Stegostoma tigrinum: one gene and its partners. The protein of the gene in region 3 interacts with the protein of the main gene of each other region in a pairwise test. Links are inferred from orthologs where the notes say so. Each region holds a gene or a part of one and is shown on either strand. Other genes may lie near its edges.

The links.
Region 1: the proteins of doublesex- and mab-3-related transcription factor 1Y-like (region 3) and exosc5 interact in a two-hybrid assay, tested with the Homo sapiens proteins (2 studies listed by BioGRID). The link is inferred for Stegostoma tigrinum from reciprocal best matches to the Homo sapiens genes DMRTB1 and EXOSC5.
Region 2: the proteins of doublesex- and mab-3-related transcription factor 1Y-like (region 3) and il16 interact in a two-hybrid assay, tested with the Homo sapiens proteins (2 studies listed by BioGRID). The two-hybrid records come from large-scale screens. The link is inferred for Stegostoma tigrinum from reciprocal best matches to the Homo sapiens genes DMRTB1 and IL16.
Region 4: the proteins of doublesex- and mab-3-related transcription factor 1Y-like (region 3) and plakophilin-2-like interact in a two-hybrid assay, tested with the Homo sapiens proteins (2 studies listed by BioGRID). The link is inferred for Stegostoma tigrinum from reciprocal best matches to the Homo sapiens genes DMRTB1 and PKP2.

What each region holds. Positions count from the first base shown.
Region 1 is NC_081392.1:8,365,738-8,372,684, forward strand, and holds the start of exosc5 (exosome complex component RRP46), read left to right. Parts: upstream 1-3,936; 5' UTR 3,937-3,982; coding exon 3,983-4,079; intron 4,080-6,184; coding exon 6,185-6,298; intron 6,299-6,947. Other genes in the region: bckdha (2-oxoisovalerate dehydrogenase subunit alpha, mitochondrial), read right to left, coding at 3,524-3,634. UniProt on the Homo sapiens protein: Non-catalytic component of the RNA exosome complex which has 3'->5' exoribonuclease activity and participates in a multitude of cellular RNA processing and degradation events.
Region 2 is NC_081386.1:4,862,452-4,870,057, forward strand, and holds the start of il16 (pro-interleukin-16), read left to right. Parts: upstream 1-4,599; 5' UTR 4,600-4,759; intron 4,760-7,606. UniProt on the Homo sapiens protein: Interleukin-16 stimulates a migratory response in CD4+ lymphocytes, monocytes, and eosinophils. Primes CD4+ T-cells for IL-2 and IL-15 responsiveness. Also induces T-lymphocyte expression of interleukin 2 receptor. Ligand for CD4.
Region 3 is NC_081361.1:42,266,112-42,274,011, reverse strand, and holds the start of doublesex- and mab-3-related transcription factor 1Y-like, read left to right. Parts: upstream 1-4,892; 5' UTR 4,893-5,004; intron 5,005-7,900.
Region 4 is NC_081371.1:46,427,637-46,435,453, reverse strand, and holds the start of plakophilin-2-like, read left to right. Parts: upstream 1-4,814; 5' UTR 4,815-4,845; coding exon 4,846-5,032; intron 5,033-7,817. UniProt on the Homo sapiens protein: A component of desmosome cell-cell junctions which are required for positive regulation of cellular adhesion.

The DNA of each region.
Region 1 (6,947 bases), on a different chromosome or scaffold from region 3:
CGGAACTCGTCCTCACACTCAACAACTTCTCTTTTGACTCCTCCCACTTCCTACAGACTAAGGGGGTGGCCATGGGCACCCGCATGGGCCCCAGCTATGCCTGCCTCTTTGTAGGTTACGTGGAACAGTCCATCTTCCGCACCTACACAGGCCCCAAACCCCACCTCTTCCTCCGGTACATTGATGACTGTATCGGCGCCGCCTCTTGCTCCCCAGAGGAGCTCGAACAGTTCATCCACTTCACCAACACCTTCCACCCCAACCTTCAGTTCACCTGGGCCATCTCCAGCACATCCCTCACCTTCCTGGACCTCTCAGTCTCCATCTCAGGCAATCAGCTTGTACCTGATGTCCATTACAAGCCCACCGACTCCCACAGCTACCTAGAATACACCTTCTCCCACCCACCCTCCTGCAAAAATTCCATCCCCTATTCCCAATTCCTCCGCCTCCGCCGCATCTGCTCCCACGATAAGACATTCCACTCCCGCACATCCCAGATGTCCAAGTTCTTTAAGGACCGCAACTTCCCCCCCACGGTGATTGAGAACGCCCTTGACCGCGTCTCCCGCATTTCCCGCGACACATCCCTCACACCCCGCCCCCGCCACAACCGCCCCAAGAGGGTCCCCCTCGTTCTCACACACCACCCTACCAACCTCCGGATACAACGCATTATCCTCCGACACTTCCGCCATTTACAATCCGACCCCACCACCCAAGACATTTTTCCATCCCCACCCCTGTCTGCTTTCCGGAGAGACCACTCTCTCCGTGACTCCCTTGTTCGCTCCACACTGCCCTCCAACCCCACCACACCCGGCACCTTCCCCTGCAACCGCAGGAAATGCTACACTTGTCCCCACACCTCCTCCCTCACCCCCATCCCAGGCCCCAAGATGACATTCCACATTAAGCAGAGGTTCACCTGCACATCTGCCAATGTGGTATACTGCATCCACTGTACCCGGTGCGGCTTTCTCTACATTGGGGAAACCAAGCGGAGGCTTGGGGACCGCTTTGCAGAACACCTCCGCTCAGTTCGCAACAAACAACTGCACCTCCCAGTCGCAAACCATTTCCACTCCCCCTCCCATTCTCTTGATGACATGTCCATCATGGGCCTCCTGCACTGCCACAATGATGCCACCCGAAGGTTGCAGGAACAGCAACTCATATTCCGCCTGGGAACCCTGCAGCCATATGGTATCAATGTGGACTTCACCAGTTTCAAAATCTCCCCTTCCCCCACTGCATCCCTCAACCAGCCCAGTTCATCCCCTCCCCCCACTGCACCACACAACCAGCCCAGCTCTTCCCCCCCACCCACTGCATCCCAAAACCAGTCCAACCTGTCTCTGCCTCCCTAACCGGTTCTTCCTCTCACCCATCCCTTCCTCCCACCCCAAGCCGCACCCCCAGCTACCTACTAACCTCATCCCACCTCCTTGACCTGTCCGTCTTCCCTGGACTGACCTATCCCCTCCTTACCTCCCCACCTACACCCTCTCCACCTATCTTCTTTACTCTCCATCTTCGGTCCGCCTCCCCCTCTCTCCCTATTTATTCCAGTTCCCTCCCCCCATCCCCCTCTCTGATGAAGGGTCTAGGCCCGAAACGTCAGCTTTTGTGCTCCTGAGATGCTGCTTGGCCTGCTGTGTTCATCCAGCCTCACATTTTATTATCTTTACTTCAGGCCTAGGTCCTTCTTCAGAAAACAGATTAGTGCACCTTCACTGTACTCCCCACAACAGCAAATTTTTTTCAGTAAAGAGAGACCAAAACAGCACATTATTCCACATGTAGTCAAACCAAAACCCCGTATAGTTATAGTATGGCTTCCTTACTCCTGCAATGAACGTTAACTTACTATTTTCCTTCCTAACTGCTCAGTAAAACAGTGTAAAAAGGATCGAAAACAGGAGTTGCTGGAAAAGCTCAGCAGGTCTGTCAGATTTTTTTCTTCACAGATGTTGCCAGACTTGCTGAGTTTTTCCAGCATCTTCTGTTTTTGTTCCTGATTTACAGCATCTGCTGTTCTTTCGGGGCATTTTTTTAAGTGTAAAACAGATGCCCAGACCCTTCAGACACCCAGTTCCCAATCTATGACCCTTCAAACAATACTCTGTGATTCTGATTTTTTTCTGCCAAAGTGATCAACTTCATACTTGTCCATGTTACACAATTTCTCCAATGTAATTTATATTTCCTCATTCCTGTAAATGCCTTAAGTGTGGCGCTGAGAATTGGATGAAAAACTCCAAACTAGTAACTTATACAGCTCTCATAACTTCCATGTCTTTGTACTCTATGCTGCATTTATGAAATCTAAGATCCCATATATTTTGCAACTCCCCTGCCACCCCACAGCCCGATTCTCCCCTTTAAAACTGTAACCTTCATTTTATATTGCCACACTGCATTCTCCTCAAAATGAATCACTTTACACTTACCTGCTTTCACTTTCATCTGCCATTTTAATGTAACCTGTATTGAGGATTATATAGAGCAAAACTAACTAATTGATTTCTAATTGTACCAAAACTGGGAAAATCAACAGCGTACCCGATGGAGAAGCAGAGAATCATTGATAGCAATTTCTGAACTTGTACATTTAAATGCAGACTTTTTCCAGTTTTGGAGGAATAACAACTGACAGTGCATGGAAGATGACCACCTTCAAGTTTCCATTCAACTCACAAACCATCTTGACTTGAAAATATCTCACTGTACCTATAGCAAAATTCTGGATTTCCTTAGTGACCAGTGCGGCAGATGTACAAACACAACACACACTGCAGTTTAATAAGACAGCTCACCAATACCTTGTCAAGGGCAGAGGGAGGCTGAACAATTGCTGCACTCACCTGTAACACTCTCCATTACATTACATCTATAATTAATAACATTACAACTATAAATAAATATAGAAAATAAACTGAATTCAAAATTGCCCAACCAGTATGATAGGATTTGGGGGATTCACATCCCAGATTATTAACAAACAATTTGTTTTAGAAAGTAGTTGCGGATTCGTAAGTTATGAATAATGAAAAAGTATGAAAAAGTATTTATGATAAGTCACGAAGCAAGCAGCACACCTAGTAAGGTTATGACACAATAAGGTAGACAGCAGTAAAACGTTAGGAATTCTAAGTCATTAAAGAATCAATAGTTATGATTTAGACATTGTGACGATTAAAGTCTCCGTTATGATTTATTAATTGTGAAGCAGAAAGACAGGAAAGTTATTATTTATAGCTTAAAGTTTTGAAGCAATCAGTGAGCCTCGTAATCTTACGTCCAGTTATTCAGTTAAAATGAAGCAATCAGTAAATCTAGTTAAGTTCTGCTATTACGTTATGAATCACAGTAAAACTCCGATTGCATGTTTAGGTTGTAAAACCCATTGACTAGCCAGACCCAGGATCCCACCCCCTCTCCTGACCAATCGGCTGGAGGTGGTCCGGAACCTCGGCCCAGAGTGATTTTACCCTTTGGTCAGGCTCTGGGAATTACTCACCCCGGTAGATAGGGCACGCCGAGACGCGGAGAGGGCGATCTGAGCCCGGGAGACGCGGCTGTTCCACAAGCCGCTCCATCTTACTCCCAACTGCCTGACAGCCGCCGCCATGTTTACTGTCTGTCCAGCCGCCGCCTGTACTACATTATCACCGCCTTCTGAGGAAGAGCAACAACAAGCGCGGGGCCCCCTTCAATGAGACCGAACAGCAGTAAAAGCCACGCAGGTTAATTTGAAAAGGAACGTGCTTTATTTGCTGTTATTGTGTAAAGGCGTACAGTAAGTTGTCCGTAGAATGGGGGTCCTTGGTGAGGGGCTGCTGCCCCCAGCGGAGCATGGCCTAGAGGTCCCACCCAATCTTGATTTTGACTGGTTAATATTGTGATGTACTGGTTTCTGATTGGTGGAGATCACCGTCAGTTAACAATGGAGGGGGCCTGACAGTCGGTGCTGCTTGGGATGGAGGTAGGTGCTGAGAGTCAGCAGCAACTGCGGCCTTTCGGCAGTGAACACAGTCTCTTGTCCAGGCCCGATGGCTCGGCCTGCTTCACACAAGGTAGGTGCTAGCCCTTTACCTTGGGAAGACTCTTTCAGACCCTACTCTGTCCCCCCCCCCGCTTACCCAAGTCTTATTGTAATGTGGGACACTCACTGTGGGAAGGCAGGTATGAGGAGGGTGGTGTGGGGTTGGGATTCTGGAGATTACAGATGGGGAGCTCATTTAGAGCAACAAGGAAAAATTATAATTCATTCGTCTCTCTTCTGACCGACTCTCAGACTTGCATTCCCACTCAAATTACTCAATTCTCATTCTCCCACGTTTCTGATGTTTCAGCAAGTTATCTTCTCATTCTGCTAAACTCCATTGAGTTCAAGCCCATCCTACTCAACCTCTCCTCGTCAGATAATCTTCACACACCAACCCCCTCCCCCGACCCTGATACACCAGAGTCAATTGTGTGATCTTCTGAGGACTGGTTCAATGTCAGTATATTTTCTTTTAGATAGGAATATTTATTTCTCCTAAAGTTCTGTATAGATCCGCAACTAACTCCACTGCTCCTTGCATCTCTTATCCATTCGCCACGGCCCTGTGTCAATTTCAAAATAGCCTCACAGTTTCACACACTCTCAATATCTCTGCATCAGTTCCATACACTGGTAATATTTACTGTGTGACTCTCTTTCCCCACAGCACTGTATTATCCACAGCCAATATCACTGTTTGGCTGTGCCCATTGCCCTTTATTAATCTCATGTAATCATAGAATCATTACAGTTTTGGCCCATCGTGACTTGCAGGCAATGTGAACATAGTCCATTTGGCCCAACCATCTCATGTTGAGTGTAGCACAGTGGCTCAGTGGTTAGCATGTCGCTTCAAAGCGCCAGGGATACAAGTTCGATTCCAGCTTCCAGCAACTGTCTGTGTGGAGTTTGCACATTCTCCCTGTGTCTGTGTCAGTTTTCTTGGGGTGCCCCATTTCCTCCCCCAGTACAAAGATGCGCAAGAGATAGTAGGAACTGCAAATGCTGGAGAATCTGGGATAACAAAGTGTAGAGATGGATGAACACAGCAGGCCAAGTGGCATCTTAGGAGCACAAAAGTTGACGTTTCAGGCCTAGACCCTTCATCAGGTTTCTAAGGGTCTAGGCCTGAAACATCAGTTTTTGTGCTCCAAAGATGCTGCTTGGCCTGCTGTGTTCATCTAGCTCTATACTTTGTTAACAAATGTGTGCAAATTAGGTGGGATTGCCATCACTTGAAATCTTCAAGACCCAACTTTTGATTATTCTCATTGATAAATTTTCATAATCAGGGTGGCCAACTTGGAAGGTCATCCTTGATTTCAATAACACTACCCATAGAAATGTTGGTGAAATAGATTAGACTGAGATGCCAACACAACTAAAGCAGAACCTATGATTGAAGAACATTTTGCCTACTATCTTGTGCACAATTTATGTCAATTGGACAATCTATTTGTTATTACATTGCTGTTTGTGGGAGCTTTGCACAATTTATCACTGTCCATGTTTTAACATAAAATTTAGGAGCAGGAGCAAGCCATTCAGTTCATGAACCCCTGCTCTGCCAGTCAATAAGGCCATGACTAATCTGGTGGGCATAACCTCCATTTTTCCTGCTCATCTCCCTTAAGCTTTGAGTCCATTGTCAAACAAACATCTGCCTAACTCCAACTTCAATGTATTCAGTGACCCAGCTGTGACTGCTCTCTGGGGAGAGAATTCTGAAAAAGAAATTCATCCTCATCTCCATCTTAAATGAGAGATCTTTGTTCTCCGTTCTCCCAGGAATAGAAAGATCCTCTTGGCATCCACCCATGTCAAACTCCCTCAAAGTCTCCCTGGTCAATAGGTCATAACAGTTGCTGCACATCAAAAGTAACTAAAGTGCTTTATGGTGCCATTTGGTCATGAAAGGTGTTCAGCTATTTAAACATCAGTCCATTTTAAATCTTGTAAATGCCTCAGTGATGTGGAACTAGCTTTTTTCTAATTAAAAATTCTGCTAATTTTCTTACTTGTGAAGGAGCAACTGTGTCTATAAAGTCACATTAACCCTTTGTTGCAATGCTCCCACTAAGCAATGCCAACCTATGTTTACAACCTTTTGGATGCTTTCTTTGTAAACTTAAGGGGACACGACAGTCCTGGCTGCAGTGTATGGACCAGCAGAAGTAAAAGTCAGCAAAGAGATCTTCGACAAGGCCACGCTAGATGTCCTCCTAAAGCCAAAAGTTGGATTGCCAAGTAAGTGATGACCTCGTTCTTCAAGGACCGCAACTCCCCACACCGCGGTGGTCGAGAACGCCCTTGACTGTGTCTCCCGCATTTCCTGCAACTCATCCCTCACACCCTGCCCCCGCAATAACCGCCAAAAGAGAATCCCCCTAGTCCTCACATACCACCCCACCAACCTCCGGATACAACACATCATCCTCCAAGACTTCCGCCATCTACAATCCGAACCCACCACTAAAGACATTTTTTCCATCCCCACCCTTGTCTGCCTTCCGGAGAGACCACTCTCTCTGCGACTCCCTTGTCCGCTCCGCACTCACCTCCAATCCCACCACACCCGGCACTTTCCCCTGCAATCGCAGGAAATGTTACACTTGGTCCCACACCACCTCCCACTCTCCCCCAGGCCCCAAGATGACTTTCCACATCAAGCAGATGTTCACCTGCACATCTGCCAGTGTGGTATACTGCATCTGCTGAATTCGGCTTGGCTTCCTCTATATTGGGGAAACCACGCGGAGACTTGGGGACTGCTTTGCAGAACACCTATGCTCGGTTCGCAATAAACAACTGCACCTCCCAATCGCGAATCATTTTAATTCCCCCCTCTCATTCCTCAGATGACATGTCCATCCTGGGTCTCCTGCAGTGCCATAAT
Region 2 (7,606 bases), on a different chromosome or scaffold from region 3:
TGGGGAACTTGGAGTGACAGTCTCGGTTGCAGCGACTGCATTTGAAGACACTCCCCTCCAGTGTTGCCATGTTGCTTTTTTTCCATCAAGCGCGCTTTTCCTCGGTGGCAAGCCTCAGTTTCTCCTCTCCTCGCTCCAGCCCTCTGCTTAGTTCCCGTCTCTAGTGTGAACAATCTTTTGTGACGTCTTCCCATCTTTCATGTGAGTACATGTGACAATAAAACGAATGCTAAGGACTTTAAATAAATGCAAATTATTAATGGTCTGACTCCTCAAGCCAAGGAAATTCACCTTTCTTAATGCTTTGTGCTCACAATACAAGGCTGGTTGGAAAGATAAACTGTGGGGAGGACTAAAAAAGACAGAGTTTAAGTGAGTGGGTAACAAGATGGTAAATTAATTTTATTGTTGGGAAGTGTGAACTTATTCAGTTTCACCATAAGAGCAGAAAACTGGAACATGCTTTAAAAAGTTTGAAAGGTGTCAGCATTGATGTTCAGAGAAACTTGGATGTGTACATTCGAGAAACACAGAAAGCTAGCATGCAAGCAATTAGGAAGGAAGTTTGCATGTTGGCCTTTATTATAAGGGGATGGAATGCCGCGATAATGATGTCTTGTCACAATTGGATAGCGCTTTGGTGAAACATGTATCTAGAATACTGAGTACAGTTTTGAATTCCGAAGCTGAAAAAAGATCAACTTGCATTAGACGTGGCACAGCAAAATTGATCCCTGGAATGAAAGAGTTGTCCTATGATGAGAAGCTGAAAATATTGGATCCATTTTACTCAGAGTTTAGAAGAATGAGAGGCGATTCCAGTGAACCATGCAAGATCCTGAGGGAATGACAGGGTGGAGGCTGAGAGATCATTTCTGCAGGTTGGGAATCTAGAACACAGAGGGCACAGTCCTAAGACATGGTGTCAATTGTTTAGGACTGAGAAAGGAGGAAATGTTTCCACTGGAAGCGTTATGAATCTTGGTATTCTCTCAATCAGTGGAATCTCCACTGCTGAATACATTTAAGATTGGAATAGACAGCTCAGGCAAGCAAAGAATAATTGGGAATGGGTGGGAAAGTGGAGTTGAAGTCAAAGATCAGACATGACCATATTGAATGGCAGCCCCTACATCTACTCCTGCTCCTATTTCTTCTGTTCTTATGTTCTCATTGTTTCTTACTCTGTTTCATACTCTCTGGCTTGTATTGTTTAAGACTCAATTAACCTGGAGGATTGGCAATGGCTGTTCTCTCTGCAGTTGCCTCATGAATGGGTAAATTCAGAACATGATCATGAAAATTAGTGATGAGATTGAATTACAATGATGAAAGTACCACATCCTGGTGAAAAGTGGATTATCTGCATCTTGTCCAGTATAGTCATATGTTTGTTGGCTGTGTTCAACTGAATTTGTGATTTCCTCTCCCAGTAGGTGAGGTTTCTGGCAGACAACACCAAATCAGCTGCTGGGATATTAAAAGGAGGTGATAGCCTCACCTATTTCCTGGAACGTCAGGGGGGAAAACCAAAATCTCCCTACTCTAGAAGTCATGATTATATTTTAAGCGGTTGACGTGATCAATTGTGGTTCCATTCCTCTAAGTTAGAACATCAGGCAGCTGTTCATTTCCAACAGTGCCACCAACTGTAGTGGCCGTACCTGGGACTGCAGCAGTTCCTGGAGCAGTGACTCTATGGATCTAGGCCTTAGATATAGCTAAGTCGGTATAGTACTCAATAGAGCCAATCAGATCAGCCTGGTGAGGAGGTTGGAGTTTATTTCAAGAGTGGGGAGAGGTTGCCTTCTTATAGGTGTCAGATTTCACTGAGCAATCTCTCGAGATGGCAAAGCACACTCTTGTACCAGTGCCAGTGGGAAGAGGGCCTTTGTGCTCATTAATTGGTGATGGGATCCAGATGACATTTTGGGTAAGCAGGTTCAAATCCCTAGATGGCTAATGGCAGAATTTGAATTTAATAAAAATCTGAAATTAAGAACCTAACAATGACTGTGAATCCATTGGTGATTGTTGGAAAAATCCATCTGATTCGCTAATGTCTTTAGGGAAGGAAACTGCCATCATTACCAGGCCTCGCCTACATGTGACTCCAGACCCACAGCCAATTTGGTTGACTCTTAACTGCCCTCTGGGCAATTAGGGTTGAGCAATAAATGCTGGCTTGGCCAGTGACACCCTTATCCCATAAATTAATTTGAAAAGGGCCTCAATTGCCATTGGACTAGGCAGGCCACCTGCCTCTGGTAAAATACCAGTGGTTAGGATACAATGGATATAGCTCCCTCTGCCAAATCATGTGATTATTTTGCCACTATCTGTGTACCCCGAAGCCTTGTACCAGGATGTGCGGGATACCAGGGTTGACCCTTTAGATACAACCTGTGCAATTTTTTGGCAGGCCTCTTAAAGTCCTAAGGGAGGTGAAATATTTGGAACTGTCAGATAAGGAATATCTCATTAACTGTCTTAGCAACGGATCAAACACAAAATGCAAAAAACCAGTTCAGAAGGAATGACATGTGAAAGCAAGAAGTGAATCATTTCAAATGCTTGATGGACGAAGAAAAATAAAATATAAAACATACCAGGTTTTGAGTAGAGTCATAAATAGCAACATGGATTTTAACATAATGAAACGTCCCAAGCCACTTAAAACCTCCTTTCTACTGAGAATTGTTAGGCCATGGACTTCATTTCCCATGTTTGTGGCCATGATGGAAACTGGGAAAGTGATCTGCACAAAGAGCATGAACTGGACCCGGAATAATCCTCGTAGAGTTTTACTCTACTCTTGATTTTCACATCCACTGAAGCTACTTCAGTTATGATCTCAATCTGCTAAACTGGATCACTTCAACATGACCCCCATATGTCAATGTTCAAGATTTTGATTGGGAGGGGGGTGAAGGAAAAAGGGGTTGAAATGACCTGGAACAATGTGGGTGATTAATATTAGAACACAGAGAATATGGAATGTGTGGTTGGGCCAAATGACCTTCTTCCAAGGTATCACTGATGTCAGAATATAAGAACTAGGAGCAGGAGTAGACCATTCAGCCCCTCGAGCCTAATCTGCCATTTGATACAACCATGGCTGATCTCATCTCAGCCTCAATTCCATTTTCCTGTTCGCTGTCCATAACCTTTAACTTGTTATTAATTAAAAAATATGTTTATCTCCTTAAATTTACTGCTGTCCCAGAATCCAATACACTCTGGGACAGTGAATTCCACAGATTCACAGGTCCTTTACAGAAGTAATTTCTCCTCAACTCTGTTTTAAATCCACTACCTCTTATCCTAAAACTATGACCTCTCATTCTGGATTGCCCAACATGGGGAAGTATTCTTTCTACTTCTACTTTGACCCCTTTACTACCTTATAAACAATCAATTCAATCTCCTCTTTTTCTGCTAAATTCCAGAGACAATAGGCCTAAACAGCTCAATCTCACTTCAAAAGACAAACTTGTCATCACTGGAATCAATCTAGTGAATCTCCTCTGAACTGTCTCGAATACAGCTACATCCCTCCTCAAGTAAGGGGGCCAAACTTTTACATGATGCAGTCTTACTCATGCCTTGTACAGTTCAGGCAAACTTCCTTTAGCAGTAAGTTCCAAATTTGAGTGTATTTCTGTGCATATTCTACCAGAACCTTTCTAAAGGACATCTTGGCCTGTAGGAACATTAATATTATTTTTCTTGCACATAATATTTAGGTTGTACCTTGTTCTTGTCTAATTTTGAGTTGTATACGTGATAAGAATATTGTGTCAATTGTAGTTTAAATTACAAAATATAGCACACCAATGTGCAATAATTGTTTATTTTTAAAAAATAATTACATCTCCAAGGAACAATACATCACAAATTGTGCCTTGAGTGAGCAAATGAACGTCGTTTTGCTTGCTGAATAACTTGTGTGCTTTTTTTCCACTAAAAATACATGCTTGGCTTTAGTGTTCCTCTCTGCATGTGGCAGGCTGACTGAATCACACCTCTGTGTCAGATCTGTTTGCTTTGGGCTGTCTTTCGATGCTGTAATTCACAGCAGGCATACCACTACATAGAGTTTATTCAGAAGCATCTACCCAGAAGTGCTCTGGCATGCTGCATGAAAGGCGTTATTTACTTGCGTCAAGCAAGTCCAATTGATGGGAATATTTTGAAATCCCAGATGAAAGATGCCGATTAAGAGGCAGGAGTGCAGGTGAGCTTTTTACATGCCTCCTCCAACATGGGCAGTGACTGTAGCACAGGAGAGCACGTCTGCAATTATGCTGAGAAATTTGACAAACATCTTCCCAACCTGACAGCACAGAGTTAAAGCTTTTCAACTGTGGTACACGTTAGTGAGAGTCCCAGGCAAAGACCGTGGTCTCCCATTAACTTGTGTTGTGGAAACAGGACCACAATTCAGCTCAGGAACTGTAAAATAACAGAGCTCTTTCATATCCAGCTGTGAGGGTGGTAATTGGAACAGCCAAATCTAAATCATACACGACCTCTGACTAGGGGGATAAAAACTCTCCATTTCTGTTCAGGCGTGACACTAGCTTCTGCAACCATCACACTCAGCTGGAGTGTGGCCAGTGAAAAGCAAACTGAAACCCACAGATCTGCCAAAATGAGGGCCAAACAGAAGCAGGAAAGGAATTACACTGCTGATGGTCGATGAGATTACCCAAGTGATGGTAAAGAGAGGAGCTGGTTAAGATTGAGTCCTGTGAGGGTAAGTCAATTCTTAATGTTCTTGTACAAAATTTACTCGGAGCTCCCTGCTGTGGAAACTGAGTGAGCAGAATTGGTTTGTTGTAACTGTATTAGACAGCTCACACATCCCATTAATGCTTAAATGGCTTAAAGGTGGTGAGAACGGCAGATCTATGGTTGAGAGGAGCATTAGGATTGAACTGGGACTAAGGTGCAAAGTAACGGCTGACTGTATAGGAGACTGAGCCAGGAGTTAAGGCAAGTACAAACACTTAGCTGATTCTCTCCATTCTTCATCCAAGAATATTTTAAAAGTGCCTTTCCTCTGAAAATGTAACATTACCACTCTCTCTTCAATTGCTGAATTTCACCATTTGGTTATTTCTCCTCTTCTTCTGTCTGTTTCTGCTGAGCTGTTATTTCGAGGATACAAGGACATATTCAGATGAATGTATTAACATCACTAGGGAGGAAGGGCATTCCTGATTCCCTGGCAATATGCATTCTTAAAACAGTAGCACTAGGAATAGAGCAACCACACTTTCTTCTGTTACTCTTCATGGAATTTTGCGGCAAACATATTAGATGCTCGATTTTGCATACTTTATAGTAATTGCCCTTTAAAAGTACTTCATTGAATGTGGAGAACTGTGAATGCCCTGAGTTTATGAGTGGAGAAATCTGAATGCAGCTATTTCTTTTCTGTTTATCTTTATGGATCCGCACTACCCACATTTTGTTTGGAGTGGGCAGGGAGCCTGTATCAAGAGACATTAATCTCATGCTGGTATGGGACAGACTAAATGAATCAGCTGGTCCTTTCATGCCTCACAGCTTTTCCTATGTTTGTGGTTTCTCTACTGGTTATTGAGGGACTTACAATCTCTTCAGTTTGAGAAATCCTTGTGTATATTCAAACATGAGTAGACCATTCAGTCTAGACCAATGTGAACTTAACTTTACCATCCCATTTTTTTCTCCATATCCCTCAACACCCTTGCTTAAATAAAATCTATCAATCTCAGTTTTGCGATTTTCAATTGACCCCTATTCTCAACAGATTATGGGGAAGAAAATTTCAGGTTTCCAGACTTCCACAACCTTTTGCAGGTAAAAAGTGCCAACTGGCATCATTGCAAAGCTTTGCTCACATTCTAAGGTTCCTTCTTCTTTGACTGGTGTCCAGCATTCGAGGAAGTATGTCCTCTCTCTCTTTCTAGTTGACCAAATCCTTAATAAAATTAATTTTAAGCCAAATTTCAAGTTTCCATCTTAAAATGTCCAACTGATGCTAGTTGAAAACTGTTCAGCATTGATTTTAAATTTTTAATGACAGTATTACAGTAACATGGACAGGAAAGTTCTTACCCTGTCATTGTTTTTATCTTACATGACTTTTTAAATTGATAATTAACATGTGCTTACTCAGTCACATCTGGTTATCATGCCTGTTATTCAAGCCTTTGTCATCTGATAGAAATACAGATGCACAAACATTAACATGTCATTCAAGAGACCATCTGGTACAATGTAAATGTAGGAGCAGATCCTGACTGTGCGATTGTGTAAAGCAGATGATAGTGAATCAACATCCTGGGTTACATGAAGCCAATGAATGTCAATTACCACTCAGAGCCAAGGTTCATTCATAGAGTCTGTAAATTGTGGAAGCAGGCCATTTGGCCTACTGAGCCCACACCAACCCTTTGAAGAGCATCCCACCAGGACCCATCCCCCTTCCCTATCCCTGTAACTTTGTATTTTCTGTGGCTAATCCACTTAGCCTGTACATCCCTAGGAACTATGGGCAATTGACCTAACCACATCTTTGGACTGGGGGAGGAAACTGAAGCTCTGAAACCCATGCAGATGGTGGAGAATGTGCAAACTCCACATGGACAGTCGCCCAAGACTGGAATTGAACCGGGGTTCCTACTGCTGTGAGGCAGCTGTGCTGACCATTGAGCCACCATGCTGCTCCAACTAAAGTCTAAAAGTATTAGAGTTTTTTTCATTCGCTGAGAGTGGACATTATATGCAAAGCTGAAATTATTACCCATCTGTAGGCACCTTGAGAGGCAGCTTGATATGACTGAGTGCTAGGTCATTCAAAGTGCAGCTAAAAATGAACAATATTAGAATCAAACTGATGACCCATATAGGACACACTAGATAAAGATCGCTAGTTTCCTTTCTGAAGGACGTTAATAAACCAGATTCAACAGCTTCGTTGACACTTTTACCGATACCAGCATTCAGTTCCCAGAATTTTAAAACTGAATTCATATTCCCAAATTGGCAAGTTGGGATTAAACTCATACTGTGCAATTTATTTTTCCAGGCCTGAGGATTTCAGGTCTAGGAACACCAACATATCCATAGTTAATCTACATGTGATCTATTATTTTCAGAACAAGTATTATTTACACTTGGCAAAAACAAATTTCAAATTTGGCTACTTATCATGTCAACATAGGAAAATCATTCACTGATCTAGAGAAATTAGACCAACTGTGGAACTGAGAGACCTATGATTCATAACTGTGCTTATAGCAGGAACTGACCCTATTCTCTCCATATTCTGTTAACTTTGCCTGTTTATTTTTCATGCATTCATATGGAGCTTTCAATATAGAAGACTGTGCCAAGGTGCTCCATAGAGTGTGGAGCAAAAACAAATTCTGAGCCAAAGAAAGCAATATTCAGAGAGGTGACCAGGAAAGGATCTTAAAGGAGAAGACAGAATTGGAAAGATGGGGGAAGGGCACAGACAGAGTGCTAGAGCATGGAGCGCAGAGATCTGAAACATGAGGAGAGGGATCGCTGCACAAGAGGAGAGTCAGAGGCATGGGAGGCCTGAGCGGGT
Region 3 (7,900 bases):
GATACTTGGATACTGAGGGAGGTTGTGAATTTAGTCTAAAGGAAAAAAAGAAGCATATAGATCAGACAGGACCCATGAGGAATATAAAGAAAGCAGGAAAGAACTTAAGCAGGGAATTAGGAGAACAAAAAGGGGCATGAAATCACCTTGGCAAGTAGGATTAAAGAGAGTTCCAAGGCATTAAAAACAAGAAGATAACTAGAGAGAAGGTAGGGCCACTCAAGAATAAAGGAGGGAACTTGTGCTTGGAGGCAGAGGGTGTGAGCGAAATCCTAAATAAATTCATTGCGTTAGTATTCACCCAGGAGAAGGAATGTGGAGGATTGTGAGATTTGTGTAGAGCGTGCTAATATGCCAGGGCATTTTGAGATCAAGAAGCAGCATTGGGTCTCTTGAAGGGCATTAAGGTGGATAAGTCCCCAGGCCCAGAGATATCAACTTCAGGTTTTGAGAGAAGCAAGACAGGAGATTGCTGATGTCTTGACCAAGATATTTGTATCCTCCTTCACCACAGGAGAGGTCCTAGAAAACTGGCAAGTAGACAATGTTGTTCCTCTATTCAAGAAAGGAAATAGGGACAATCCAGGAAACTATAGACCAGTGAGTCTCACATTGGTGGATGGGAAGCTATTGGAGAGAATTCTTAGGGACAGGATTCACACACATTTGGAAAAACATGTCCTAATTAGGGACAATCAGCATGGCTTTGCGTGGGGCACCCTGCTTGATCAATTTTTTCGAGGAGGTGACGAAGGTAGTCAATGAGGGTAGAACAGTGGATTTTGTCTACATGGACTTTAGGAAGGCTTTTGAAAAGGTCCCTCATGGTAGGCTCATCCACAAAATTAAAATGCATGGGATCCAACATGACTTGGCCATGTGTTATGCAGGGATCTGTACTGGAACCTCTGCTATTTGTGATATACATAAATGACTTAGGTGAAAATGCAGATGAATGGGTTAGTAAGTTTGTAGATATTACAAAGACCATGGAGTTGTAGATAGTGTGGAAGATTGTCAAAGGATACAGCAGGATATAGATCAGTTGCAGATATGGGTGCAGAAATGGTAGATGGAGTTTTATCCAGGTAAGTGTGAGGTGCTGCACTTTCGGAGATCAAATGTTAAGGCAAAGTATACAGTTAATGGCAGAAGTCTGAACAGTATTGATGTACAGAGGGATCTTGGGGTTCAAGTCCATAGCTCCCTGAAAGTGGTAATGCAAGTAGATAGCGTGGTAAAGAAGGCATATTGTATACTTGCCTTTATTGGTCAGAGAATTGAGTACAAAAGTCAGGATCTCATGTTGCAGCTTTATAAGATTTTGGTTAGGCCACACTAGGCCACACTGCATTCAATTCTGGTTGCCACATTATAGGAAGGGTGTGGAGGCTTTGGACAGGGTGCAAAAGAGGTTTACAGGATGCTGCCTAGATTGGAGGGAATGAACTATAAGGTGAGGCAAGAAAAACTTGGGTTGTTTTCTCTGGAGTGGCAGATGCTGAGGAATGACAGTCAGAACCATTCTCCCAGTGTTGAAATGTTTAAAATTGAGGAATGCGTTTAAGGTGAGAGGGGAAAAGTTTAAAGGAGATGAGAGGGGCAAGTTTTTTACACAGAGTGGTAGGAGCATGGAACACACTGCTGGGGTAGTGGTGGAAGTAGAAAGGATAGGGACAGTTAAGAGACTTTCCGATAAGCACATGAATATGCAGGAAATGGAGGGATATGGATCAATGGCAGGCAGAAGGGATTAGTTTAATTTGGCGTCATGTTTGGTACAACATCGTGAGCCAAAGGTCCCATTCCTGTGCTGTACTGATCTATGTTCTATGTTTAATATCCTTTTGGTAATGGTATTTAGTAAAGGGTATGTGTAGCCAACTGTAACTCTCAAAGGGCATCACGAACGCGGTTAGAAAACTGCTCCTTTCATTGAGCTTCACTTGCCAGTCATGAACCTTTGCTTCTTGGGTGATGAAGATTTTCACATTTGCATGTTGTGGCAAAATCCCTTTGACTGTAGCATGGGTTGTGATATCACTTCAGGGCTCTATTTCAATCCTTTGGGTTGATTCATACTCTCAATTTTCCAGGTTGTTTCACTGCCAAAATGCAGCAATCCACACTGTAGGAGCTGTCAGATTCTTGATTACTCCCTTTTTCCGGGCTCCTCCCTCTTGTGTTTCAGCCTGGCTTTGCGGGAATTGGTTTTCCGTTCTCATCTGCTTCAAGGTGATATTCTCCTGGAAGACAGCCTTGCCTTGCAAATACATCAATGTACTCCTCTGCCATTTCTTCTACATCAATGGTTTAGTGTACTGTGACGTGTGACAAATGTCTTTGGTACATTGAGGCTTATCACTCCAAGCTTTAAATTTGCCTTGTTGAAATAAGTGTCATATGCTATCTATCTATGATCCGGAACTCAAGATCCTCGATCATTTTGTTGCAACCATTCACAAAGTAACCTGTCCTCTTGGCAAGATGATGGTGCCATGATATAGCCTTAACCTTATTTTGAGGGTTTCCTTAATTTTTGGATCACCGCATTTAACCACTTCCTACAGGTCAATGAGGTCATGATGCACCAATATCTATCTGATACTTCATGTTGACTTGATGTTTTCCTTGTGCAGTCTTCATTCCCATAGTCACAAAGCATGTATCACTCAATAACTTGACTAAATCAACCTACTGACTGATGTAGAGTGATTCATCAGAACCTTCAGCTGACATATCTCCAATGGCCTTCTGCACTTGCTTCTTTTTAGCCATACATGTGTTTACAATGATTCGGCTTCTTGCAGTGAAAACACAGCTTTCTCCACAATGGCCATGCCTCTTCTTCTTTGCATTATGTCCTCTCTGGTACTTTCAAACTGCAATTTTTCTGTAATTGTTCTGTCCTGTCTACCTAGAGTATCTATCAGTGCAATGCTGGAAACCTAGTTTGTTTTGCCATTAATATCCTCAAGCTACAAATTCACAGCCTCAGCACGTCTGCACTTGTCAATTCTCTCTGGAATGTAAGTTTCTCTTGTCTCAGTTGGTGTGTTTTCACTTCTGCATCTCTTATGACTAATACAATCCTGTTTAAGGGGATCATCTTTATTTTGCAACTATTCATAGGTTTCTGCAAGCTGAGTTAATGATGGTACATATTAATCAATGATCTGTTTGTACATTATTCCCTCATTTTAAATATGTGTTGTTTTTCTGTAACATTCACTTAATGCTCAAAGCATGTCTCCAAAGTTTATAAAATTTCTGCCTTTTTTTTCTGCTCTGCAGCAAGATTTAGAGTGGAATATGTTTTGAAACAGTGATAAAAGTATAGTCACTTGTAACCATTCTGTGATAATAAAATGTGACGCTGGATGAACACAGCAGGCCAAGCAGCATCTCAGGAGCACAAAAGCTGACGTTTCGGGCCTAGACCCTTCATCAGAGAGGGTCTTCATCATGATGAAGGGTCTAGGCCCGAAACGTCAGCTTTTGTGCTCCTGAGATGCTGCTTGGCCTGCTGTGTTCATCCAGCCTCACATTTTGAGGCCTTGTTATCACATAGCTAGCCATTACACACTATCTATTGTTAGGCACTAACAGTCTCCGTTAACAGCTGTTGACCCTCTTCGCAAGATTGTTATCAACGGTTTTGTCTATCCAACTACTCTGCTCTCTACTGGGCTCTACCCTTTATCCTGTTTACTCCCTACACCCTCCCCCCTCCCTATCTTCTGCACATAAACCAACATTTTCATCGGTTCTGAGGAACAGTCACCAGACCCAGAATTTTAACTCTGATTTTTTTTCTACACAGATGCTGCCAGACCTGCTGAGCTTTTCCAGCAACTTCTGTTTTTGTTCCTGATTTACATCATCTGCAATTCTTTCAATTTTATTTACCCGATAAGAGATATTTGGGGGATGCAACTCCTGTGGAGGAGGAGAGAAATAGGAGAAGATTTAGGAGAAAGAGAAAGCTTTGCAAAATGCATTCAGTCCAAATGATTATTTTTGTATGCTTCAAATTTAGCTATACACATTTTCCTCGAGGGTAGTTCTGTGACTCATTGCCAAGAACGTCTTGTAACTGATCATCCAGAAATAATCTTGTTTGCACACATCTCCCCCTGCTGGTTATTCAGCATTGAAGCAGCCACGTACAGTTTTAAATACATTTTCCAAGGTAAGTTCACTTTAACCGAAACCGCTAGTGAGGGGTGTTGCTTCATGGAAGCATAATACAGTGCAGCACTGATGACTTGACTCCTACTCCCTTTAACTGAGACAACTGCACTTTGAGTGTGGAATCACTGAATTCAGCTCAATCTTTGCAAAGCAACTGTACATATTTAGTTCTTTCATGAACGGAAGTCATGCCAACTTAACTATAACTATGCCGGACACTGAGGAATGCTGAAATGCCAACATCGCTGCACAAGTGAGACAGAATCTGACTGTTTCTGTTCACTTGCTTGGTATCTCACTAAGTGCAGATTCAAAGTGGGCGGCATCCCCGAAGTGTTTCTAAGAGAGGGTTCAGTGAACTTAGACATGTCATCGTCAAAGGTTCAGCTCCACAAGTTTCCAACCTTTTTAATGTAATGGCATATAGTGAAATCAGGATGAAATATCTGCTACCTCCCTTCTTCATAGTCCAATCAAATGAAAGGGAAGGATGATTCCATTGATTTACGCATGATTGCCAATTGCTTTAATCGTAACTGTAAAAGGGGGAATTGGATGTATAAACTCTATAAATGAAATGAAAAAGAAATACAGAGCAATAGGAGTAAGGGAGTAGGAATAAATGACGATTCTTTCAAAGAGCTGACTCAGGCATAATGGGTCAAAAGGCTTTCCACTGTGCTGTACAAAAAGAGTTCTCAGCTTTAACACTGGGCTAAGAAGACGTAGAGGCACGACAGGATCCCAGTCAAGGGATGGCAATGAGAGAAACAGCCAGGCTTCATTCAGTGGATCATAGTCCAGTGAAAGGTAAATTTTAGCTTAGGGCAGGAGCGAGTGGCGTGAGAGGGATTTGGATATAAAACACAATCCTATTAGCTTATTGCGCAAGAAGACAGTGGATATTAACAGGAATAATGGTGATAGAAATGTGAGAAAGGATGGGGACTGCAGTGTTGTGGATAAGTTGTAGTTTATGGAATGCAAAAGCTGTGAGAACCGCAATGAGTCAAAAGCCAAGATAAGAAAGGCTAAAGAGTAGGGTGTAATCGGGTGTGAATTAAATTGATTGTTTTCAGTTTTATCGTTTATTTTACGCAGGTTTCATATTATAATTTTAACACGTTTCCTGTGTTTTTTTCCTGAGTAGATTAATGTATTTTTCTTCAAGGTTAGTGCTGTCCTCTTGTGGTTGTTTAGCTGCATTACAGAAAGGGAGTGCTCACTTCAAAACAACAGGCTCAATTTTACTAAAAATCAGTTAAGGATCAATTTTGAGGACTTTCATGAAGGGCTTCCCTTCGTGAGCTGTAGCAAGTTATCTCATGCAATTTTCTACTGCCCACTTCAGTATGGATGCTGCGTGATGCTGTGGTGCTGTGTTTTCATTACTCTTGCTCACCATTGGCGGAAATACTCTCCACTGCCAAGATTTCCGTCTGCGGTGCCCTATTTAGAGACGAGCTGTTTACCGGGACAATCACTGCCAGCCACAAATACCCCTTCACTGCACTGTAATTGGAAAGGAAATGAGAAAGAAAATATTCTGAGGGCACATAGGTGCCATGGTAACACTTCATTGTGAGTGGAAGCAAACACTTTTACTATTTTACATCATTAACTGTCTGATCAGATGTGATCGTAACTACAATTACAAGAATCAAGCTACACAGGTTACCTCATTCTTAGCACTATGCCACGCTAGAATCAGAGTGCTACTCTATCCTTAATACCCAATGTAGCAGAGCATTTTTCTATGGTTCAATGTGGGAGCTTCACATGTTGGAAAGCCTTCAAACTGTTTAAGTCATTCATGTTTATTGAATAACACGAAAAGTAAACAAAGAAAAAAGGTGCATTTATTCCTGGGAACAAACAGGGTGTGACTTAGTTTGAGCAACAGCAAATTTTCAGTCAATGAGTGATCGCTCAGCTCACATCTCTTGGAAGGCAGGTGTCAATTAAGGCTTGTCTAACTTATCGTACCCAACGCCACTTTGCTTTATCACACTGAAGATGATATTTCACCTGCTCAATGTCCTCATCTCCTCCTCCTCAGTAGACTGATTCCCCACTCCAAACTCTTCAACATCCCCTCACATCCCCTCTTTCATCTTCTCCCGTTGTGCAGAGCATATGCTTGGATTATATGCATGGTCTGTCTGGAACGAACTGCAAGGCCCCCTATACCAATCCAAACAATGGAGCTTCATTTTTGGGTAGCCTGTCATCTGCTCCATAATGGCCCTGGTGGAAGAATAGGTTGCACTGTATCAATATTTGACCTCAGCCAGGGAGATGCAGAATGGAGTCACTAGCCGTGGTTGTAGGGGTTAGCCTTTGTCTCTCAGTAGCAGCCTTGGAAGGTATCCAGCCCTTAAAATGAAGTGAAAACATGAAGTTCTCAAAGATAGAGGCATCATGACAGCTCCCAGGGTACCTAGTACAGAATTCAAAGAAGTGGTACAGCAGAACACTTTTTTGTTGATGAAGTCAGTCATGTTATGATAATGATGCTCTCAGCATAATATGTTTACAGTTTATAGTGCCATGCACCTGACGAAAGCCAGCTACATTGGCGATGCCTACCACCTGGGCTACAGCATTGATCTTGTCACGGGAAATGAGATGAAATGTGTGATCTGGAAGAAATTGCATCAGTAACAACCTTGATACATTTGGGGTTGAGAAATTGAGAGATATCATATTGTCGATTCTTGGAAGCTGCTAGGTGCATAAATGTTTAATGTTCCCTTGTTGGCCACTGGGATACGATGGTCATCCATCCCTTCAGGTTGCAAGTTCTGCTTCAGCAGATGGTACAGTTCAGTGCCCTAGAACAGTGTTCTGGCATGCCCACAGGTAGAGGTGGCAGTGCACTCTGCTCATTTAGAGAAAATAACATTGAGGACAATAGACACAAAACATCCTCCTTTCTCTGCATCTTGAGGGGAACTTCAGTGGTGACTTCTTCAAAAAGAGAATATTTGACTGGAGCTGGAGATTGCTTACTGGCACATTTTTTTCTCCTTGATTTTCTGCACCTTTGTTGCATTACAATTGCAGTACTGGTTGTGCTGCTGTGGTTGGATCCATTGGTCTTGGTTCCATGAACCTCTTTGGGGAATATCAGAAACAGAACAGAACTGTGTGAGCAGTCAGCATTTGCATCACATATAATGACAATTTAGTACAGTTCTCCTTACAGTGGGATGTGGTGGATTCTGACAATGAGGACCATGAAATGCCTTGACGTAGACCTTTGACATAGTGGACCTTATTCTGATGTATGCAACAGGAACCAACCCCACATCACCTAAGGAAGGCAGCATTGCATGTAAGTTGTTGTTGGCAAACACTTGCTTCAAAGTGAGAAGAAATCAGCTCTGTGCCTTTGAGACCATAGACTGTCTTTGTGCTTTGTGGTCTGCAGGTCATGTGTGATTATTTCTCTTTCATAGAAATGACTATGATATAATAATCCACAATATGGTCCAAATTGCTTGTGGCCAGGGTTTGTATCCTGCAAGTGGAACTATGATTTTATAATTACAAATGTCTTTAAACTGTACTGTGTAAGTGCCTAATTAATGCAATTTCTCCTTGAGGGGCTTCACATTTCAAAAAAATAGAGCCAATATGCTCAAACTGAAAAAGAAATACTCACTTTGCCTAGATAACAAGGTGTGGAGCTGGATGAACACAG
Region 4 (7,817 bases), on a different chromosome or scaffold from region 3:
AGATGTTGAGCTGTACTATATTGAACAGGTTTCTAAGAATAAGGTGAATTTAGTTGCATTGAAGAAAGGCATCATTTGGACAAACGGAAACAGAGCCTTGCACCTCAGTGGTAGTGTCCTTAACTCGAAGGGCAGGGGGTTCAGATTTAAATCCATGATGGCTACAGAGGGATGTCATAACAAGTCCAAACAGATTTTTATATTTACAAAGCAGGCTTCGGTGATACTGTAATCTCCCCACTTCCGGACCAGGAGATCCAAAAGCCATCTACCCTGGAGGTGTTTCATAACCTATACAGACAGATAGGCTTCAATATATTGTGGTAATCGGGGGGCTCAGGTTAATAGAGTGGGAACTGCTGAGGTTGCGGCTCATTCACTACATTGACCAGAGAGCCTAGATATTTTTAATCAATTTATTCAGTCACATTATAACACATCTCTGGAGCTGGTGGTTCATGAATCCAGACCTTCTGGCCCATTGGTAGAGACAGTACCATTGTGCAACAACAGCTCCTTGACCAGGCAGTCTATCGTGTTTCTAAGTAAGCATTTATCTGTTAAGGGACTTCTGACGCTGGTTAGCTCAGGTGGTTAAGAGTGTGTGTTAATAATACTAGGGTTGCAAGTTCAGTCGCTGCATTGGCCAGGAAGCCTCCAAGGGTTCTAGGGAAGCATTTATCCTATAAGAATCCTGTGGTGTATAGTGACAGCAACCCTATCTCTGTCCCAGAACATCTGAGTTCAACACCCACTTTCCTACAGGTGAATCATAAAATGCCCAGATGAGTTGACTTAAAATGAACAAAAAGCAGACTTCCATCCCTTACTTTTTAAAGTGAAAAACACTGTACTAAATTCTCACAGAAAGTGCTGGAGAAACTCAGCAGGTCTGGCAGCATCTATGGAGAGCGAAACAGAGTTTTGAGTCTAGAGATAATGGGAACTGCAGATGCTGGAGAATCCAAGATAATAAAGTGTGAAGCTGGATGAATACAGCAGGCCAAGCAGCATCTCAGGAGCACAAAAGCTGACATTTCGGGCCTAGACCCTTCATCATCTAGGCCCGAAACGTCAGCTTTTGTGCTCCTGAGATGCTGCTTGGCCTGCTGTGTTCATCCAGCTTCACACTTTGAGTCTAGAGAATTGTCCTTGGAACAGGACTCCCCCTTGGACTCTAAACACTAATCCTATTTTTCTCTCCACAGACTTGCTGAAGTTGCCCAGTACTTTCTGGTTCTATCTCAGATCTCCACCGTCCATTGCTTTGTCTAAATTCTCATTCTATTCTAACAGATATTCACCCAACATTTGTTATGTTGCAGAATAGAACTTCTGCTGAACACGCGTCCAATATCCTCTCCTCCTACTCTCCATAGCAGATCCATAACAGCTTTCATTTTGACCTACATTGGCTCCCTGGTGTTTCTAACTTAATTGTCTCACCCTTATGTTCAATCCCTCCCTTCCTCTAGAATTTTCTCCAGCTCTATAATTCACCAAGGTATTCCTCTAATTCTTGTCTCTTGCACATCCTCAACTTTTCTCACCCATCCATTTCTGGCCAGGTCTTCGGCTGCCAAGGTCTTAAACTATGGAATTTTTCTCTCAACCACCTCTCTTTCTCGCTCTGTCCTGCTTTAAATCATATCCCTCAACAAAGATAATGGTCACATGTCCAGAATGACCCGGGGTTTCTATGGGGCATCTTTTAGCACACTAAATGGTGCACATAGTTACCATTTTTATAAAAGTGAAGGTAGCTTTACACAGTTTACCTGCGGCATGATACCGACAGGAATACTGTAGCGCTCCTCACTCAGGAGCGAATGTGCTTTTAGTTAAATTTATCACATCACTAGGTCTCCAACCGATCTTTGAATGTAACAACAATGAGCAATTATACGGCACCTATGGTTCAGTTAAACATCCCAGGGTGATTCGTAGATGAAATTTTCACATAAAGTCTGACACTGAGCCACATGAGGATACAGGAGAGTAAGTGAGCAAAAGCTTGGTCGATGAAGGTGGGTTTTAAGGAGCTTCTGTGACAGAACTTCCAACGGCAGCTGGCAAATATGTGGGAAGGCATGCTCAGAGGCACTTGAGGAATAGTGCAAAAAAAAATCAGTCACTATGTGGCAATAGTGAGGGGGTGTTGGCAGGTCAGCCGTTGCAAAGACCCTCTGGAAAATAAGCATCTTTGGGGGAAAGAGATAGTAGGAACTGCAGACGTTGGAGAATCTGAGATGACAAGCGGGCTTTTCTGCCCATTTCTGAAGAAGGGTCCAGGCCCGAAATGTCAGCTTTCCTGCTCCTCTGATGCTGCTTTGCCTGCTGTGCTCAACCGGCTCTACACTGTGTTATCTTTGGGGAAAGAGTGCCCATGGGATGACACAGCTGACAGACAAAGGATTCCTCAGCCCAAAATAAACAGCATGCTTTATTCCAAGTAATTATTGAAAATACTTCCAAGTTTAAACTTATTTTCCCGTCATGTTTGCAAATGAACGGATGCTGATGAAGGGTCGAGGCCCGAAACGTCAGTTTTTGTGCTCCTAAGATGCTGCTTGGTCTGCTGTCTTCATCCAGCCCCACATGAGGCATTCCACTCCCTCACATCCCAGATGTCCACGTTCTTCCAGGACCGCAACTTTCCCCCCGGCAGTGGTCGAGAACGCCCTTGACCGCGTCTCCCGCATTTCCCGCAACACGTCCCTCACACCCCCGCCCCCGCCCCCAGAGGATCCCCCTCGTTCTCACATACCACCCCACCAACCTCCGGATACAATGCATCATCCTCCGACACTTCCGCCATCTACAATCCGACCCCACCACCCAAGACATTTTTCCATCCTCACCTTTGTTTGCCTTCCGGAGAGACCACTCTCTCCACGACTCCCTTGTCCGCTCCACACTCCCCTCCAACCCTACCACACCCGGCACCTTCCCCTGCAACCGCAGGAAGTGCTACACTTGCCCCCACACCTCCTCCCTCACCCCAATCCCAGGCCCCAAGATGACCTTCCATATTAAGCAGAAGTTCACCTGCACATCTGCCAATGTGGTATATTGTATCCATTGCACCCGGTGTGGCTTCCTCTACATTGGGAAAACCAAGCGGAGGCTTGGGGACTGCTTTGCAGAACACCTCCACTCGGTTCGCAACAAACAACTGCACCTCCCAGTCGCGAACCATTTCAACTCCCCCTCCCATTCCTCAGATGACATGTCCATCATGGGCCTCCTGCAGTGCCACAATGATGCCACCCGAAGGTTGCAGGAACAGCAACTCATATTCCGCTTGGGAAGCCTGCAGCCCAATGGTATCAATGTGGACTTCACAAGCTTCAAAATCTCCCCTTCCCCCACCGCATCCCTAAACCAGCCCAGTTCATCCGCTCCCCCCATTGCATCACAAAACCAGCCCAGTTCTTCCCCTCCCCCCACTGCATCCCAAAACCAGCCCACCCTGTCTCTGCTTCCCTAACCTGTTCTTCCTCTCACCCATCCCTTCCTCCCACCTCAAGCCACACCTCCATTTCCTACTTACCACCTCATCCTGCCTGCTTGACCTGTCCATCTCCCTGGACTGACCTATCCCCTCCCTACCTCCCCACCTATACTCGCCTCTCTACCTATCTTGTTTTCTCTCCATCTTCAGTCCGCCTCCCCCTCTCCCTATTTATTCCAGTTCCCTCTCCCCATCCCCCTCTCTGATGAAGGGTCTAGGCCCAAAACGTTAGCTTTTGTGCTCCTGGGATGCTGCTTGGCCTGCTGTGTTCATCCAGCTCCACACTTTGTTATCGTAAATGCTGACTGTTGCTAATTTAACCTATTAACCTGTCATCCAAAGCATTTGTCAGGCTATAAATCCCATTTATTGGACAGATTGCAGCACTTGGATGACAATCATTCGCTAGTCTTGTCAGTAGAGCACAATAAGAGGTTTGTTTTCGAAAGAATCAGCTATTAGAAGGATGTAAGATACAGGAGCAGAATTAGGCCTTTCGGTCCATCGGGTCTGCTGTGCCCATCATGGCTAACATGTCTCTCAACCCCATTATCATGCCTTCTCTCTGTAACCCTTAATCCCCTAAATAATCAAGAATCACCGTAAGTTCATGTTGACATTCCTAAATTCCACAGTGCAGTTGCAAACTTATAACAAATGCAGGTCCATAAGGCCTGTTTATTTTCATACATAACAGCTACTGGGAGTCCCTCTGTGTATAATGCCCATTCAGTTTACTACAGAAAGGCCACGCAAAGCGTGTAGATACGTGGGCCAGCTTTGCAAAGCAAGGAGCTGGAAAAACGTTTGAAATCTTTCACTGCCTGTGTCTGCGGCAAGTCTAGACCTTCCATCCCATCCCTTGCCCCCTATGATTCAATGCCACTTTCTTGAGCTATTTGCGGTCCGCCTGATGCAAGAAGAGCCTTTAACTCCAATCGATTATAATCGTGGGCAATGCAAGCTCACTCAATGCATAGAATGGTAGCCAGAAGAAGTCCATTCGGTCCATCGGGCGCATGTTGGCCTTTTGAAAATGGTGCTCAACCAGTTTCCCTTGCAACTGCCCATCGGTTACTTTACCCACTCCTGTTCTGAAAATGGTGAATCAATCTGGTTTCAGTGCTCCTTCAGACAGTGAGTATTGCAATGAAAGGCTCTGCAGGGAACACAGCAGGATCAGAGTTGGAGAGCTCGGGAGAACCGGGCTTTTGGGAACTTGCGACCAGGAAGTGTGCAGCAGGAGGAGGTTTTGCAATCGCTCGGGGGTGGTTCTGGCAGTCGCACAGACACACCTCAGTTACAGGCAGGAGTAGCAGCTGGAACCTGCAATGGTGAGCAGCCGGGACCCTTTCTTCCGCACGGTGCTGAGCCAGGAGATCCTCTCTGTCCTGGACTCCAGCCTCGCTGTCCCCTCCGATGAGAAGCTCCGCTTGTCCCGCCAGGATGACAAGAACTTCCGAATCCGGCAGCAGGTCAGCCTCAGCATGTCCCGCAAGAACAGGAGGGCATCCACAGGTAAAGGGGCATCCGCTGGTCCCCGGAAGAGGGCACACGTTCTCCTCCGGAGGGGCTGTCCGATTCACCCCCTCCTCCCCACCCCCCCCCCAAACTTTGGTGGCTGGATGCTTGCGAGGGGAGAGTCTGTCCCCCTGGGTGGGGAAGTGTACGAGGGAGAGTCCGTCTTCCCTGGGGGAGAGGGGAGAGTCTGTTCCCCCTGGGGGAGAGGGGAAGAGCCTGTCCCCCTGGGGGCGAGGGGAAAGTCTGCCCCTCTGCGGGGTGGGGAAATCTGAGAGGGAGAGTCTGACCGCTGGTGGGGGGGGGGGGAAGAGTCTGTTCCCCTCGGGTGGGGATGTGTATGAGGGAGAGTCTGTCCCCTGGGGGAGAGAGGAGAGAGTCTGTCCCCCTGAGTGGGGAAGCATATGAGGGAGAGTCTGTTGCCCTGGGGGAGAGGGGTAAAAGTCTGTCCCCCTGGTTGGGGAAGGACATGAGGGAGAGTCTGTCGCCCTGGGGGAGAGGGGTAAAGTCTGTCCCCCTGGGGGAGAGGGGAGAGTCTGTCCCCCTGGGTGGGGAGGTGTACAAGGGACAGTCTGTCCCCTGGGGGAAGAGGGGAATTGTGTGTCCCCTGTGGGGGCGGGGGTGGGGAAGTCTGAGAGGGAGAGTCTGACCATTGTGTGGGGGGGCGGGGAAGAGTCTGCTTCCCTGGGTGGGGATGTGTGAAGACTTTGCACCCCCCACCCCCAAGGGAGGCGACGGGTATCTGCATGGAAGGGGTGTGTTGAGGGTGGGGGGGTCTATCCCCTGGGGGAAGGGAAGTCTGTGTTGCTGTGGGAGAGGGAGTCTCTGTGAGAATCTACACCATGATTCCCAAGTATACTCGAAGGTCAGATGCTGTAGTGCTGGTAGCAGTATTTTGTATGTGTGAGAATGTAGTGACAACACTGAAACTGTCACAGAGGCAGCTATGTTTTCTTTTCAACAAAGTGTTGAGAAAAACCCATGGGAGGACTGCTGTTGGTTTTTTTTCTTCCACTCACTTATCTTCCTCAGTGTGGACTTGCTGAATGAATGTTTCTCCCTCTTATGGCTGTCTTTTAGATGTGACGTTAAAGGTCCCTCAACTTCCCTCTCATATTGTGTAAAAGATCCCATGGTCACTGTCGCCTCAGCTTGCATTGTGACTATAGCACAGAAATGGATCTTTTCACACAACTGGCCCAGGCTGGTGTTTTTGTTCCACATGAGTTTCCCCAACATTGCTTTATTTCTTTCTGTCAGTGTAGCCTCCCTCTGAGTTCTCCCTCATGTTTATCCAGCTTCCCCTCTAATGTGTCAATACTGTCAGCTTCAATCACTTCCTATAGTAACAGGTGTTTTACCCTGGTCACTTTGTAGGTAACAGGTGCTGTGCGGGTCTGTATTAAACTCAAGAAAGTAGGTGACGGCCATTCGCTGGTTCATTTCTTAGGAAAATGCCATGACCAGGCAGAGTCAACCTGCCTCCTTTAAAATGTAAACAAAGCCTGGCAGTTAACTGTCAATCATTATTAACTGGTTTAAGAAAAACAAATGAAATGCAGACGCTGTAAATCAGGAACAAAAACAGAAGTTGTTTGAAAGGGTCTGCTGGCCTGGCAGCATCTGTGAAGAAAAATCAGAGTTATTCTCTGATTCTGAGATAACAAGGTGTAGAGCTGGATGAACACAGCAGGCCAAGCAGCATCAGAGGAGCAGCAAGGCTGATGTTTCAGGCCTAGACCTTATTCCAAAGAAGGGCCTAGGCCCAAAACGTCAGGTTTCTTGCTCATCTGATGTTGCTTGACCTGCTGTGTTAATCCATCTCTATACCTTGTTATCTCAGATTCTCCAGCATCTGCAGTTCCTACTATCTCTGAAATTTATTCTCTGATTCGGTTTTTTTTCTCCACAGATGGTCCTCAGCCTGCTGAGTTTTTCTAGCAACTTCTGTTTTTGCCCATTATCAACTGCTACATTTATCTCTGGCAACACCTCTGCCAACCAATCAGCGCTCTCTGCTCATACAGTATAATGTTGGCTTCCCTTTAAATCTGTATTCTTGTGATTTGTCCTGATGAGTGCAAGATGAAAAGCTTCGATAAAATATGCCATTTTAGAGCAAAACTCAAGTTTAACATGAAGGTATAAATGATAAAAATTGTTATGTGGCCCACGATTGCCCTTGAGAAGGTGGTGCTGAGCCACTTTCTGAAACCACTGCAATCCATGCAGTTTAGATGCTCCACAACATGATGGACAAAGGAGTTCCAGGATTCTGAACCAGTGGTAATTAAAGAACAGATGTAGCTGCAAGTCAGAGATGCCAACGTTTACTGCAGTGGTAAATTAGCCCCAACCCATCACTGATAACAATCATTACTTTGGCTCCTGCTGTGCTGCATGTTAATTGCATATGTCTATGCCTGCATTTTGCATTGCAGCCTTGTCACTCGTCAGCTCCATTCCATTGAGAATCCATGCTGTGTTGTCGAGTTACGCTGTTGTGGGGTCTCTTCATCAGTCTGGCTCCATTAAAAATCCATTTCAGGTTGTCCTGTCAAACTTGCAGCGTCCAGCTGATCTCACTGGGTGGAAACCCTGAATAGCTCAATGAAATACTAACATCTGAATTTTGCATTATTTGCGGATTAATGACTTTAGTATGAATAAGCAAGTCAGGGAGTAATTTTGGAGGGATACAAAGGGCTGCAGATACAAATTAGGGAGCAGGCCACCCTCCTACAATGTCTCTAAACAAGAGCAGGTAATTCTGTTCTTAACTGCA